Linked DNA regions of Ovis aries. The protein of the gene in region 1 interacts with the protein of each later gene in a biochemical or structural test. Links are inferred from orthologs where the notes say so. Each region holds a gene or a part of one and is shown in the gene's direction. Other genes may lie near its edges.

Evidence for each region.
Region 2: the proteins of RP2 (region 1) and ARL3 form a complex in vitro, tested with the Homo sapiens proteins (2 studies listed by BioGRID). The link is inferred for Ovis aries from reciprocal best matches to the Homo sapiens genes RP2 and ARL3.

The regions. Positions count from the first base shown.
Region 1 is NC_056080.1:57,905,183-57,909,009, reverse strand, and holds part of RP2 (protein XRP2), read left to right. Parts: intron 1-462; coding exon 463-548; intron 549-2,006; coding exon 2,007-2,090; 3' UTR 2,091-3,827. UniProt on the Homo sapiens protein: Acts as a GTPase-activating protein (GAP) involved in trafficking between the Golgi and the ciliary membrane.
Region 2 is NC_056075.1:23,049,810-23,053,636, reverse strand, and holds part of ARL3 (ADP-ribosylation factor-like protein 3), read left to right. Parts: coding exon 1-131; intron 132-3,484; coding exon 3,485-3,601; intron 3,602-3,827. UniProt on the Homo sapiens protein: Small GTP-binding protein which cycles between an inactive GDP-bound and an active GTP-bound form, and the rate of cycling is regulated by guanine nucleotide exchange factors (GEF) and GTPase-activating proteins (GAP).

The DNA.
Region 1 (3,827 bases):
TCAATTCCTACTTGGCTTAGCTTCATTACTGGTGGCCCAAAACTTGGCTGTAAGTGGGAGAGTTGGAAGAAAGACTGGCTGCCTGGCAAAATGACTTGAATAGCTTTTGATCTTATTTGTCATTTTATCAGCTATTTTTTATATTGCTAAATTGGTGGACTTTTTATAGTTTTCATAGAAGAATGAAAGCCAGAAAAGCCAGACTATTTACAACACTTAAAAATGTGACACTAGACCTGTAATGGCACTGACGCTATTTGTCATGTGATAAAACTCTATGTTAATTTGTTTTATGATTAGAGTAAGAAGTAGCTGAAGTGATGTGTCCTATCTGTCTACTCTCTTCTTTCTTTTCTCTTACCCCCAAAGAAAAGGCTGTAGATTTTTCAAGGAAGAATAAGAAGATTAATTTGAGAATAGATTTGTGTTCATGATAAGACAACACTTCCTTTTTGCCTATAGGTCCTGTTATTGCCTTGGAGTTCAATGGAGATGGCGCTGTAGAAGGATGTCAACTTATTGTCAACGAGACATTCAGGGGGACCAAGGTACAAGATACTGTTGACTATATTTCAGTCAAACCTTTCATTTCCTTCTCTTTTCATTACAATTAAATAGTACTTTTAGCACATCATGATTTTTAAAACTTTGGTAAACAATTGAGAACTAAGCTTTGGTTTTTCCTTGCCAAACTGAAATTTTAATAGCTTAAAAATTTACAAAGTGTCTACATGTTAAAAATCTCAATCACACATGTTTCTAAAGTCAAATGTCTCACCAAATGTCTCTTCAAGTTCTTCCTTTTTTAAAAATAGTGATATGTTGGGACTTCTCTGGCAGTGCAATGGTTAAAAATCTGTGCTTCCAGTGTAGGCAGCATAGGTTTCATTCCTGGTCAGGGAACTAAGACCTCACAAGCCACACAGTGTGGCAAATAAATAAAAATAGTGATATGCTGAAAATGTTACATTTCTAAGATTGTATACTTTAAATGGACAAGCCTATTGCTCAGTGTTCACTTTTATTTGCTTCAGTAATGCTTCATCGAAACTTGAGCTATATCTAGAAATCATTACATGTAGGTATTTTCTAGATGTGGTTGATGAGTCTAAGAATTTCAATTTTTAACTTAATATAGCTTAGAAACAAACATATAAGATGATTAAATGAGTATACGTAACTTTTTAAATAAATATCTGAGAGGAAACGTTTGGTTTTGTACTCTGATTTAGCTTATGGGCCTTTGAATTTGCACAATTTAAAGTACTTTGTCTTTTGTCTCATTTGATCATTGCAACAAGTACTAAGGGAGAGGGCAAATATAATCAGATTGAATAGAAAAGGAAACAGAGAGAAAATGTTTATATGATTTGGAGCTTTTAGATCTGAATGAGTTATAGATTATCTAATCCAACTTTCTCATTTTACAGATGTGGAAATGGAGCCCAGAGAGGTTGATTAAATTGTCAGCGTCATTCAGCTAGTTATGATCAAGATAAATAGAACTCAGGTCTCCTCTGATTTCTGGCAGACATTTATAAAAGCTGTTTTTGAAGGGTTCTATTGAGTACTGCTTTGTTGATGTTTGGAAAATAGTTAATTTAAAATTAGTAAAATATCTTTAGCAGCTTTGAAAAAAAATATCAAGTTTTGCTTCTTGGTCTATTGAGATTTTTATTAGAAAATAAAAGAAATTAAGAGTTCTTTACATAAATCTCTTTATTCAGTAGCTTTCATAATATTGGTTTACATATTTTAAAAACTGAAATTCCAAGAGTAGTAAAATACAACCAAAGCATTATAAAGCAAAGACTTTAATTATATCATAAATGCTTTAAAAAGAGCTCCGTTTACATCATAGCTAATTGAAACTATACTGCATGAATTCTATAGAAAATCCAGAATTTCTTTTAAATAGCAAGCTTTTGACTGTTTTGTGGAGGATGTGGGCTTTGGAATTTGGGGATTACTAATACATTATTTTTTTCCTCTTACATTTAACGTAGATATTTGTATCAGAAAGCAAGGAGACGGCACCTGGAGATGTAGACAGCTTCTACAATTTTGCTGATATACAGATGGGAATATGAAGTGCAATGCAGAACCAAGGACTTCGTATTAAGCCCTTTTCAATTTGTGTGTTAGCAATGGCTTTTTTTTTTAAACTGATGCTAAAATTGTTAAAGTCATTTTTAAAATAAATTGTTGAATGCTGCATCATTTACATGAGATTTGGAAAGAGTTCATTTTAAATTAAATAGTTTTAATCAGCTTAAAACCCACTTAACCCAGTTCAGTGAGATTGTAGGTTTTCTCTGCATATGATACTGTTATTAGAAAACAGAAGTGATTAGCAGTTCATTTTTTTAATCCTAATTAAACGTTCTTTCAAATCTCTAATTTACACTTTACTCAGTACTCTATAATACTTGTTTGAGAATATCTTCCATTTTCTTTTTTAATTTAGAAGGATTTCTTAATAGCTGATCAGTTAAAATGAACCTGTGTACATTTTTCATGTATACATATCCAGTTAAATATTTGCTTCCTAGTTCCATAATATGGAAAATGAGATTTTGTATACAGAGTTGACATAATACTTTGTAAATTGAATTTTTTAATTAATAGGTATTTGATAACCAGTTTTGCAAGTAACATGTTGGTATAACTGTTTAAAGACTAAACAGTTGTATGCTTATTTGAATATATTCCACATTGTTTAGTTTTTTAATAAAACTGTTAGATGACTTTTCTGCTTCCTGGTAGGAAAAGGTATATGGAATAATGAAACTATAGAAGCCCAATCACCAGCAGTTCACAAAGGTGATTACTGTTTTATCAACTCTTATGAGCTATTAGAATTAAAACAAAACCTTGCAGCATTTTTACGTAAGAAATACTTAAGCATCTTGATGAATTATGCAGATTGTTAAGATGCTAGATAAATTTCTATCAATCAATGTTCAAGTCTGATAAAAATTATTTTGGTTGCTTTAAAGCATTATTTTCCAAATCAACCTGGACGTAATAATTTACCAGGGGGCAGGAGGGAGCTACTTATTTAAAAATCCACATTCTTGGACCAGTCCTTAGGTGCATCGATTCAGTGCCCAGGGAAAACTGATTTGAGAGGGTTGTTGTAACGTAATCAGAAGATTTTGATAGGTTGATCTTGTGAGAAGGGACTGAACCTGCCATCTACATCATGTGCTGTGTGCTTAGTTGCTCAGTTGTGTCTGACCCTTGCAACCCCATAGACGATAGCCTGCCAGGTTCCTCCATCCATGGCATTTCCCAAGCAAGAATGCTGGAGTGGGTTGCCATTTCCTTCTCCATACAGAGTAGCTAATTGGAAGTTAGCTTTCATAGGTCTATTTTTAAATTTAATTCTATTTTGATAAAACTAAGACTGAAAAAAATCACTTGTAAAAATTCCTCTTAAAATTGTAACCAACAATTTATTTTCATGTTTGAACTCTTTGTGGATATTTTCAGATTCATTTACAACTACTGTATTGTATGTCCAATGTTCAGAAATAATACATTAAAAGACTTTTCACTTTAAACTAATAAGTAATGTTGACCACCTACCCTGTGCCTCACCTTGTATTAGCATCATATCATTTCAGTCTTTTTACAAGAGCATTCTATATTACATAACCTCTCACTAAAATCAAAATGATTTTATAAGATGCAAATAAAAATCAGTGATGGATTTAATATAATTTTGATCATAATTTACAAATGAGCTTTGCCAAATAGCAGTCAGAGGGCATTAATTTTTCTCATAGATAAGCTAAATTAAGCATATTCTTTCTGATCATAAT
Region 2 (3,827 bases), on another chromosome or scaffold:
TTCTGCGCAAATTGAAAAGTGCACCAGACCAGGAGGTGAGAATCCTTCTCCTGGGCTTGGATAATGCTGGCAAGACCACTCTTCTGAAGCAGCTGGCATCTGAAGACATCAGCCACATCACACCGACACAGGTGAGCTCTGCCTCGCCCCCATGCTTGCGTGACACATGGAAGATGCTAGTAGCAAGTGAAAGACAAAATGGGGAATAGAGTTGTGTCCATTTGTAAGTTTTGTTGCTGAGAAAAGTCTATGCAATTTCAAAATAATCTCATATTTCAAAAACATATCAAGAGATTCTATTTATATGAGATAGTTAAAGTAGTCAAATTCATAGAGACAGGAAAGAGAACAGTGGTGATTAGTGGGCTGGAGATGCGGAGGGATGGGGAGTTATTGTCTAATGGGCATAGAGAGTCAGAGTTGCAAGATGATGGATGGATGGCAGTGATGGTTACACAACAGTAAACCAAACTTAAAAATGGTTAAAATGGTAAATTTCATGTTATGTATATTTTACAACGATTTTTTAAAAAGAAATCATTTAAATGTATATGTCTATACATATCAAGACACATCAGTTCCCTCAGATCTAAGTGATTCCTTTTTAGAAATAGCCTTATCTTCTCTGATTTCGAAATCAGTACATATGGAAAATACAGAGAGCACATAAAGAAAAAAAAAACAGAGTACCCTGAGAAAAACCACTTTTAGTATATATTTTTCAGACTTCATAAATACAAACGTATGTCAATTTTTAAAAGAAAAAACCCAATTACTTTTATTTTTTTAAGCTTACCTCTTATTTTATTTTTATTATTTATTCAGCTGCTCTGGTTCTTAATTGCAATATGTGGGATCTACTTCCCTGATCAGGGAATGAACCCGGGCCCTCTGCATTGAGAGCACAGAGTCTTAGCCAGTGGACCACCAGGGGAGACCCTACCCATATTTTAAAATCCAGTCTCATCAACCCTCCTCTTTCCTAAGGCTAAGCAAGCAAAAGCCAAGGCTGGTGGTACTCCCAGCATAGATGTTGCAGATGAGTCCTGCCTGGAAGAATCCTCGTAGGTTTCTTTAGGGCTCCTCTCCTACAAGGAATCCTGAGAAAACTTGACCTTTGGCCAGGCCTTTGGGCTTCCTAACTAGCGACATCCCTGTTGGTCTTACTTTGCAGCGTTTGAACAAGAGGTTTTAGCAAAACCAGAGTTGTTTAGCAACTCTGTTGCTGTTCCTGTTGCTGTCCTGCGATGAGCTCAATGTCCTGTTTGAATGGCCATGCTGGTGTGTATACTTGATGGCCAGCGAGTCTTACTGATTCGCAGCTCTTTACAGAAAAGTCATTTCAACTGCTACCAAATGAGCAATTTTACAGCTTCTGAACAAATTTAATGTATAGCCTGAGGAGGAGCAAATTACAGTAGTCTAGCCTAGACAAGCTGAAAACACCTATTAGGGTGTCAGGATTTCTGCCAGAAAAAGAAGAACTAAGTTGTTGTTGGTTTTTTTTAAGTATTAGAGATAGGCTGTCTCTCTCAAGAGCACCACTGAAATGAGGAGGTCAACACTGAGAGCAGGAACATGAAGTCCTAGTTATGGACCCCAAGTTCCAGTTCTAATTTTCAGGCTCTGTTTGATGTATTACTATATTACATCAAGGTTTTGTATTTAGAACAAATGTATTTTTGTATTTAGTCTTAAAACATACCTATGATGTGTTTTTTTTTCATATTAGAAAAAATAATAGATGCTCATGGTAGTAAATTTAAAATATGTAAATATGTAAAATCGAGAAACTAGATATCACCTATAATGCCCAGTCAGACATAACCACTGTTAACATTTGAAATTGTATCCTTTCAGGCTTTTTCTTTCCCCATTTATGGTGGGTATGTTGAAAATAAAAAGTGAAAAATGGCTCATACAGAGTATACTATTTTGTATCATCTGTTTCACTTCATAATAACGTCTTGAACATCTTTCTACGTTGTTCTGTGTGTCAGTACTAAGACAGTACATGTCTCTAAATGTTTGCACCCGTTCATTATTATTTCTTTAGAATAATTTCTAGTAGATTTGTTAGGTTTGGTGACTTACAGACTTTTAAGGCAGTTAACATATGGTCAAATTCCAGGATCTACTCTTATTTATTCCCTCATTCCAGAAAGGAGTCATTGTTACTGGGTCTGACATTTAATAACGTAGTTAAGTGTAGGATTTTTAAATGCATAAAAGTGGTTTTGTCAGTGAGTCAGAATGAAGCTGCCTCTTACAATAAGCATAAGCCACTTCCCTTAAGAGTTCTAACACTTCTAATTTACCCAGTCATTGGCATTTTCGAGGAGCTGTAGTCAACATCATCCCCAGTTGTCCTCCAGTGACTGACTATCCTTGGTGGAAATTGGGTGGCTGTGTTCCCCTACCCTTGCCTGTGCCTTGTCCTTCTGTGGTGGCAAGTTGCCAGGAGAGGCAAATGTTTGTGGAGGCATCTCCAGACCCACCTAACTCCAGCTCTTTTGGATGAAATGTCACTTCCATGGGAGCAAGCTGTTGATCGGGTTTTTCAAATCCTGATTTCACGATGTCGTTCTTGCCAGAAGATTTTTTTTCTTTTTTTATTCTTGCTTATAAAATGCCTTCTCTTCAAACCCCAAAGTTCTTGTTAGTTTGTTTCTCTGCACCCAAACTCCCAGCTCACCATTCTGTCTGCCCCTGATTGGTTCACTGGCCCCAAAGTTCCACCTGGCATCACTGTCCTGAAAATGAATCCTTTCAAGTTCATCAGAGATAACCTACTAAAGAACAGTTTCATATGCTCATCACCACCCGCACGAGGGCTACTACTCCAGTTACAAACCAGCCTCCCCCTCTGTGTCCTGAGTTCAGCTCTTTCCTTTTCCTGATCAGTTCATATGAGAGAATTTTCTTTCATTTTGGGTTGTTCTTGAAGAATCCAGTCTTCCAGGGTGTAGCTCTTGACTCTTTTTAAATTTCGCACTTGTTCTGTTCTGTTGAGCCTGCAGATTCGTCTTTGTTTGTTAGTTACATGTAATATCCTGTTAAATGTTACCGTCTTGAGGACTGATGGGGATTGAAGGTGGTTTGTGTTGATTATCTGAGTAATTCTCATTCTCAGTAGTGGCACGTGTGTGTGCACTCAGCATGATGTCATGAGCACCGACTCTGCCCCGAGTGATGGGAACATGTGTAAATACATTTTTCTTCCCTATCAGAGCAAACTGTTTTCAATATCATCTGTTTCTTATCCTGCAGAGTATCTCAGAATTAATAAATAACATAGCTGGTAAATGTACCTTTGTCAGAAATGTGATCTCAAAGTCTAGTAAAACTTGGTGTGTGTTTTTTTTTAATTGAAGGATAATTGCTTTACAGAATTTTGTTGTTTTCTGTCAAACCGCAACATGAAGCAACCATAGGTATACATATACCCCCTCCATTTTGAAAAAACTTGGTGTTTTTGTTTCAGGGTTTTAACATCAAAAGTGTACAATCACAAGGTTTTAAACTGAATGTCTGGGACATTGGCGGACAGAGGAAAATCAGACCATACTGGAGGAATTATTTTGAAAACACTGATATTCTTGTAAGTACTCCTTCAGATTCATCAGTTCATAATCTCTTCTGCCCTGTCCTACTAACATTTACCCTGTGATGATCTATCCTGTCAATAATTCCATCGCCACAACATTGCTGTCTGCCACAATGAATTTAGGGCTAGCAGACAGATTGTGGAGCTTTGTGTAAGATATTTTGTTGTCGCTCGGTAACAGTGTAGTGCCCACACCCACGCTGGCAAATAAAAGTATTTA